Linked DNA regions of Rattus norvegicus. The protein of the gene in region 1 purifies or fractionates together with the protein of each later gene. This does not show direct contact. Links are inferred from orthologs where the notes say so. Each region holds a gene or a part of one and is shown on either strand. Other genes may lie near its edges. The genes, in order: Pitpnm3 and Vapa.

Region 1 (4,472 bases):
ACTGCCAACCCTCTGAAATTCCCACAGCCTGAGGGAAGCATAAGGACAAGGAGACCCAGAGGGACAGAGCTCAGGCCTAAAATGGAAGACAGTGAATTTTCTTAGCCTGTTTCCTCTGCATAAACTGGGGATGATGCAGTACACCCCAGAAGGTACATCCAGACTTAACAAAAGTTTACACAGAAAGCCACACAGAGACTGCTCGCTCTGTAACAACCACTGCACTACAGTTCCAATATGGGGGAGCGCTCCAGGGTTAGAGGTGGAAAGGGGTACCCATGCCCTTCCTGCCAGTAGCCTGAGCTGGTGAACAGCTTTGAATTCATGACTTTGGGGGCTTCTCAACTTCCATGTCTACAGGATGTGTTGCTGTCCCACTCTGGAGTCCTTGGGACTAAAGGGTTTCCTGAAAGGTGAGACAGTCAGTCATAGTTAAAACTAAGATGGACAATGTTTGTCAAAGCCTGGTGGCTAGCACATCGGCCTGCACAGAGGATCCTAGGAAACCCTGGTTTGGTAGGTGAGGCATCAGAAGGCAAGGAGAGGCCCATGAGTACAGGATAGTCTTCTGCTGAGGTGAAGAACATTTTTGCTGTTAGCTCTGTGCAATAATAGTTTTGAAAATGCTCTTGGCTGAGGGACTGAGCCTTTGATAGAATCAAGAGGGAGTGAGTGTAAGGGCTGGTTAACAAAGATAGGCCGAAGGAGTCTAAGCCCAGAAGTGGGCGTGTCCACGGAGACCCCTTGTGTGCTTTCTTTCTATGGGGCAGTGGATGGGACACTAAAGTCCTGGCTGGCCCAGGGTGCTTGGCTGCATACTGTGGGAGAAAAACAGGCTTCAGGGAAGGCACAAGAGTCCTCTGAGGAGCCTAGCCCTCCCTCTAGCCGACAGCAGGGAGGAAGTGGCCTAGCCTGGAACTGGGCTAGGAGAGGACTATTCTCTCCAGGATCCTCCTACCTTCTAGGCCCCCTAGAAATGACTGACCATCTTCTGTGGATCCCCTGACTGCAGTGGGCAGAAACAATGAAATTTAAATGTCTCAGGAGGTCTGTTAACTAGAATGTCTGCACTTCTGTGAGAAAAGTATTAGGGGGACACTGCTTTCTGCCAGGCCCCCCATAAATCCTGCTCAGCGTGACCTGGCAGGTGGGGTTTGCAGGTTTAACAGGTCCTTTGGTGCTAAAGGACAAAAGCTTTTCTCTTTTGAGACTAGAGCAGATCCAAGCATCCAGCACCCCTAGAGTTGGAAGCTGATGGAGAAGACCCCTCACGAACCAAGCGAGACTTCGTTCTAGGTTTCTCGGTCTCTTGGGTCCTGGTCTTCCTTGCTCTCTCACTCTGTCCTCACGGACTCTATCTAGCCAGCTCCGATTTCCTTGAATTTTTCTCTCTCCCCCAAGGGTGTTTCTGCCCTAGGAGTGTGTCTTTCGGGTGCGGTGCCTCAGGGTCACTGCGCCCTAGGCTCGCCGTCCATATCTCCATCCCTGCCCGGCCCGCTAGCGTCTCCGAGCTGTAATCCCCAGTCTGTCTACGTCTGTCTTTCCCCGAGGGTCGTGGTCTCAGTGGCCGCAGTCAGTGGGCTGTGCCTCCCGCGCGCTGCGGTGGCCGCGCGGCTCGGGCGGGGGTGCGGGCCCGCGGGGGCGGTGTCGGGCGCCTTCCGTCGTCAGTCCCTCCCCGGCGGCGCGGAGGGGGGAGCGGCGCGGCCGCCGCTCGGCTCCTTTAAGGGAGCGGGAGGGAGCGGCGAGGCGGCGGCGGTTGCGGTGGAGGCGGCCGAGCGAGCGGGGCGGGGGCGCGGGGCGCGGCGCCCGGAGAGTCCGCTCCGGCCGAAGGCGCCGGGGCCGGGCCGGGAGCGAGCAGCGCCGGCAGCACAGCGGAGCCCGCCGCCCGGGACATGGCTAAGGCGGGCAGCGCAGGTGAGCGCGGCACGGGGCGCGCGGCGGGTGGCGGGAGGAATCGCTCGGCCCAGGTGAGCCCCCCCACCAGATGGGCGGAGGCAAAGTGACCTCGGCGACCCGCCCGGACCCTGGGCGTGTAGAAGGGGCTCCGCGCGCCCTGCGTCCTTCCCGCGCCCCCAGTCACCTCGCGGGACACCGCATCCCGCTTGCCCCGCTACATTGGGTCAGGTCTGCGGCTCCTCAGTCCAGTCGGCAGTTGTGAGCTGTCGCTGCCCTCCGGGAGACCGGGGGAGTAGATCCCGGCACCGGAACCCAAAGGGGATGTCCCGTGGCCACCGACCCATCCCACGCCCAACAAACCAGGACGCGCCCCCTTGTCCTGTCACTCTGCCTGGATGCGACAGTCCCCTGCCCCTGCCACCAGCTGGGTCAGGAGACCCAGATTACTGGTCCCACCGCTGGAGGGGTACTCTGTGGTTGGGGAGCCGCCCCGCCCCCCACCCGACCCAGAGGCAGTGCCTCAGGTGCCAGGCTAGGCAGGCCGGGCCTGTGTGGGGGGGTCCCATGGGCTCTGCTCTTCTGCAAGCTCAGAGCTGTAGCCCAAGGTTCGCAGGGAGTAGGCTCTGGTCGTCCCTTCATTCATCCAGCCAGGCGTTCATTCACCAGCATCTGCTCTGATGTCAGGCCCTGTGAGTTGGCTAGGACCTGGAGGGGATCAGATTTAGCCCCCAACTCGCCGCTCTGGCCCTGGGCCCCAAGAGTGCCCTAAAAGGCCAAGTTGAGGAAAAGCCTGTGTTACAGGGCTGGCCACAAATGGGTGAGGCTGGTCTCAACAGCCGTGAGCCTGGGAGCTGGCGTGTGAGACTCTGCCATGAACTCACACCCAACCTGTGACGCCGGGCAGGTGCCATGCCATCCCTGTGGGGCCTGGTGTGAACCCACTTCCCCACCCATAGACACTGTAAAGATGGAGTGAACATGGTCACCTGCTTACACTCTAGCTGTGAGTGCCGTTGAGCTCCCGTGGCCCTGGGACAGGTCCCAATCCTTGGCATGCACTGGCCTTGTGACTCAGGTGCCTGCTATTACAGAGGAATCCTGTCAGGGAGAGGCTGCTTGTGTGAGACAGCATAACCAAATGCATCTGAACACCCCCTTTCCCACTCCCCTCCCCTCCCCTCCCGAGGGAGGCACAGTGAGATGACACCGGGAGGCTGGAAAAGGCTCTCTGCTCCCTTCTTTCTCCCACCTTGGTCCCTCCCCACCCCTGCTCTTCATAAAGAAAGAGCATCGTGTCTTTGCTGCCCATTCTACATGTGTTCGTGTGTAGGCACAGGTCTCTTGCCAGAGCACCACAGTAGCAACAGTAGTTAGAGAAATCTCTTCTTGACCTGTGTACTAAGTAATGAAAGCCCTCAAGCCCTTTACTGCCCCACGATCCTGAGAAGTAGGAAGGCACTCCCCTTTTTAAAACCCTTGGAAGCAAATAGCTCCCTGAGGGCAGCTGGGAGGGTCTAGGCAGAGCCTGGACGCAAGGCCAAGTTTTTTCTACTCCCCTCCTCTTCATTCTGGGAGAGAGGCAGCCCCAGGTCCTAGGCATTGGCTGTTGCTGAGGTCCATGGAAGGTGAAGACATTGCCGGGCCTCCCAGCTGCCTGAAGCTACTCTACAACTTTTCCATTTCACACTCTCAGTCCTTTCCCTCAGGGCAAGCCAGACTTCCCTCCTCTGTGACCACCTGCTTGGTGCCTCTGTCCCTTACTCAGCTGCTACCCACAAGGAGCTCTGCAGATGACCTCTGGCAAGATCTGACCACTCTTCCCTTCTCAACTCCTCTGGGCAACTTGACAGCCTGCACACATCCCTTCTTTCCTTTAGCTGCCTCAAACCCAGTGACTTGAAAACACACAGTGTGGAGGAATGTCTACTCTCTCTCAGCAAGCACGTTTATGTTGAATCATAGACTTAAGCTTTACAACAGAGGCGGCCGAGGGCTTCTATTCATAGTTGGGGAAACCGAGGCCCGAGAGAGAAAGATGGCAGTTCAGTACCATACACAGACTAAAAGGCAGAAGGATCAGCCCTCCACACTGAGAGGTGAGACTGGAATAAAGGGGGGTTGTAGGGAATCTTGCCCATGAGTGAGGGGGTCTGCTTCCTGATTTGTGTGGGATTTCCTCTGAAAACTGGCCAGGGGCCCAGCTGCTGAGCGAGGAGATGGGCTTTGGGTCCTGGGGCTGTTGTACCCGACTCCAGGCTGTACACAGTAGAGTTCCAGCACCACCATCCCAGCACGATGAATGGTGATGCTGGAGTGGTACAGTGTACATCCTGAGCAGCCAGCCAAGGCTGTGCCAGCTGTGCCAGGAAGGCAGTTCAAGGACTTTCATGTAGCTAGGAGAATCCAGGCACACGAGAAAATGTAATCAGATCCAAGGAAGGATGAGATTAATTTGCAGAGTGGGTCCAACTTGATTATTACCAGTCTTCGAGCTTTGGGGCAATCTCAGCTGCACAGAAATCAGGAGTTTGCCATCTCCAATACTGGAAAGGAAGAATGCTCCTTGGTCTTGCTGT
Region 2 (3,807 bases), on another chromosome or scaffold:
GTGAGCTCAAAGATCAGCACTGGTGACGACCACTGGGGACTGTCAGTCATGTGATGTGGTAGGAACATGAGGACAGTTTTGGCTGACAGGATGGCTCATTGGATGGAGATGCTTGTTGCCAAGCCTGAGGGATGGAGTTTGGTTTCTGGACCCCACATAATGAAAGGAGAACACTGGTTCTAAAAAGTTTCTTCTGATCTCCGTGTAGATAACCATGACACGTGTTCATACGTGCAACACACAAGCAACAATAAATAAATGTAACCAAAATTAAAAACCTAAAATCATAGTTACTTTGTGGATGAAATCACCAAAATAATGCTTTTGTGAATCCAGTTAATTTTCTTTTCCTCTGCCCCTTACCTTACAGGCCCCTTCACAGATGTAGTCACTACAAATCTTAAATTGCAGAATCCATCGGACAGAAAAGTGTGTTTCAAAGTGAAGACCACAGCGCCCCGCCGGTACTGCGTGCGGCCCAACAGTGGGGTTATTGACCCAGGGTCAATCGTGACTGTCTCAGGTAGCAGTTATGTCCTACACTAATGCAGTTTTGAATATTGACATTTTTATCTGTTTATTGTTTGGCTTCAGTTTTTGTCTAAAGGTTTTCCTTGGGTATCTGCCATATAAAATTTTACTGAAACTTTCCTACTCTGAGCTTGTGTGTGGGTGTGATTAGTTACTGTCAGTCTGAAGCATCATCTAGTCTCTGTTTCCATAACTGTCTTTCCACCGTAGTCTGTATTCTTACTCATCTTTGAAATGGCACTGTTTTGTGATTGAATCATGTTCTGTACATCCACAGAAGTGTTTTGAGGCCTTTGCTTAAAAAAATGTATGCCTGGGGCTGGGGATTTAGCTCAGTGGTAGAGCGCTTACCTAGGAGGCGTAAGGCCCTGGGTTCGGTCTAATTGTCAAGGAGTTAATGACTTTCTTTGTTTTCTTAAAATTAGATTTAAACAAATGAACACATTCTAAGTAATTGTTTAAAATCCAGTTTAAAAATGGGTTATATTAAAAGTGTTTCAGTTATCCAAATTAGAATCAGCAGAAAATGAATTTACTAATAATTGAAAGTTATAACGTGGCTTGTGCATCTTGAGACTACTACGTTTGAGTTTGACCCCATCTTGCTATTACGCTTGTGTGTTGCTGTGGTGGTGATCATGTGCCCTCTCTCTTTGTTTAGTAATGCTGCAGCCCTTTGACTATGATCCGAACGAAAAGAGTAAACATAAGTTCATGGTACAGACAATTTTTGCTCCACCAAACATTTCAGATATGGAAGCTGTGGTAAGTGTAGAAGTTGTATTTTTGGAGCTGTGGTTTAAATTTGTTTTGTTTAACTCTCAACAATCCTGACTTCCTTGCCAAAAATTAATTATCAGAACAAAATTAAAATTTAAACAATTAAAAAGCCTTTTAGTTTTTTGACACCCCCCCGCCCCCCCAAAAAAAAAAAAGGAAGACATGATTCTGCCTGTTCTGGAACTTTGTAGACCAAGGCTGACTTTGAACTTAAGAGAGATCCTCTTGCCTCTGCGTCTTCCATCACAGAGCTGGAAGGCATGCATGGCCCACCAAGCCTGAAATACTGTTCCTTGGGAACCATTTAGAAACACTAAGGTGAAGAAGACTCGTGTGTGTTGCCTTCCATTGCATTCTGTGGGTCAGAGGTCAGCTGGGTCAGGCTGGCCTCCCAGTCTGTCTACCACACAGTGTGGCTCCTAGGATGGACTCAGGCCACCAGGGTGGCAGCAGTACCCTTGCCTTCCTGGGCCCAGTGTCAGTGTGGCTTTAATTGATGGTGATGGCAGAGACACTGGTACATGATTGTAGGCGACCTGCAGTCAACTCCAGCCAGCAGCAGCCGAGCTTTCGCTTCCTGACGGGGCCGTTGTCTAAGCCACCGTTCCCAGGCTTCAGTTGTCCCCTCTGGTGAGACCTGAGTGCCACATGCTCTCTTTTCTCATCTTTGGATTTTTGTTTTGTTTCTTTTTCCTTTTAGTGGAAAGAGGCAAAACCTGACGAACTAATGGATTCTAAACTGAGATGTGTATTTGAGATGCCGAATGAAAACGATAAGCTGGTGAGTAAGAAAGAAACCTTGGTCGGTCATCAGCCTCTGACACTGGGCTTGTAGTGCCTGGTCATTTTATGAGACGTAAAAAGCTTGATAATGCTATTTCCAATTTATGATATTTTGTTTGCCCAAGAAGAAGTAAATATTACACGGTAGGTCCAAATTTCAGTGTGGAAAGAATTTCTGAGAATGCTCTCAAATTCTGAAATCATGTCTTTATCCTTTTTCTTAAAGAATAAGACATGCATATGCAGATACAGCTATAAAATCAGGGCTTCTTTTTGGGTAATCATCAATATTCTTGGACTAAAATATATAATTTACAGGGATAAGTCATCTTCCCCCCAGTTTAGCCTTTGCCAAACACTTTGCATATTTTTGTCTTCTGATCAAAATCAATTTTATTTTTTAGTGAATAATTGCTTATTGATTAGCATTAAGCAACTACATATTTGGGGGGGCTGAAGGATAGATATGTTTTTGTAGCAGACCAGTGGCCTATGCTCTATATAATATAAATTAAAAAATTTTTAAAAGTATTTTATTTTATGTGTATGGTTGCTTTGCCTTTATGTATATCTGTGCTTGTGTGGTGCCCTCAGAGACCAGAGAGGGCATAGGTTTCAATGCTTTTGAATTGCCATGGGTGGGTGCTGGCAATGGAACCCCAGGCCTTGTGGAAGAAGAGTAGCCATCTCTCCAAACCCAAGGATTTTTCATTTTTTCTGTGGTTTGTAGGAGGGACTATAGAACAAAGTTTTTGTGTGGATTGAAATGTATAAAATACTGTGGGTAAATGTAATTGGTATAATTTGGTTATAGTCTGGTATGACTCTTGCTTTGATCTGGTAACTTGTTTGCTCTATTCAGAGTAAACTATATTTCTTGATAAGAAAGCTGAAATAAAAATGCTCATAAACGTTAGTTAGGTATTGACCAGTAAATGACTTAAGTTTTCAACACATCTTTTTTTTTTTTTTTTTTTTTTTTTTCCGGAGCTGGGGACCGAACCCAGGGCCTTGCGCTTGCTAGGCAAGTGCTCTACCACTGAGCTAAATCCCCAACCCCTTCAACACATCTTTTTAAAGTGAATCAGAACCATAATTGCCAGAGTAAGAAGTACAGTGTTTAGACTTTATATGTTAGTTTCCCTGTTTATCTGTGCTGGCTCCAAAGATAATAGCTTCCATTGCTTTTTGTATTTAACAACCAAAGATAAATTTATCTTGATTGACATTACTGTAAAAGTGATTTGGGGATATTAATAATAATAGTAGTAGTTATTATTACTATTACTACTACTTTTGTTTTTTAAGACAGAGTTTCTCTGTATAACCCTGGTGACTTGGAACTCACTCTGTAGATCAGGCTGGCCTCAAATTGAGATCTGCATTGCCTCTGTCTCCTAACTGGGATTACCACCAGTCAGGCTTAGTCCCTACATTCTTCTTCTTAGATTGGTTTATTAGACCTTCCTTTCTTTCTTTCTTTCTTTTTTTTTTTTTTTTTTTTTTTTTGTTCTTTTTTTCGGAGCTGGGGACTGAACCCAGGGCCTTGTGCTTCCTAGGCAAGCGCTCTACCACTGAGCTAAATCCCCAACCCCTTATTAGACCTTTCAAGTTGGCTCTTAGCACTTAAACCAAGTAATCATTAGTGACCTCTCATTTTTAACATTTTTATTATATATATTAGCTATACATAATAGGTTTCACTGTTATTTT

What was found.
Region 2: the proteins of Pitpnm3 (region 1) and Vapa purify together in Homo sapiens (co-immunoprecipitation; 3 studies listed by BioGRID and IntAct, with this or other methods). This does not show direct contact. The link is inferred for Rattus norvegicus from reciprocal best matches to the Homo sapiens genes PITPNM3 and VAPA.

What each region holds. Positions count from the first base shown.
Region 1 is NC_086028.1:57,262,336-57,266,807, reverse strand, and holds the start of Pitpnm3 (membrane-associated phosphatidylinositol transfer protein 3), read left to right. Parts: upstream 1-1,621; 5' UTR 1,622-1,892; coding exon 1,893-1,914; intron 1,915-4,472. UniProt on the Homo sapiens protein: Catalyzes the transfer of phosphatidylinositol and phosphatidylcholine between membranes (in vitro). Binds calcium ions.
Region 2 is NC_086027.1:112,634,011-112,637,817, reverse strand, and holds part of Vapa (vesicle-associated membrane protein-associated protein A), read left to right. Parts: intron 1-370; coding exon 371-523; intron 524-1,192; coding exon 1,193-1,296; intron 1,297-2,011; coding exon 2,012-2,092; intron 2,093-3,807. UniProt on the Homo sapiens protein: Endoplasmic reticulum (ER)-anchored protein that mediates the formation of contact sites between the ER and endosomes via interaction with FFAT motif-containing proteins such as STARD3 or WDR44.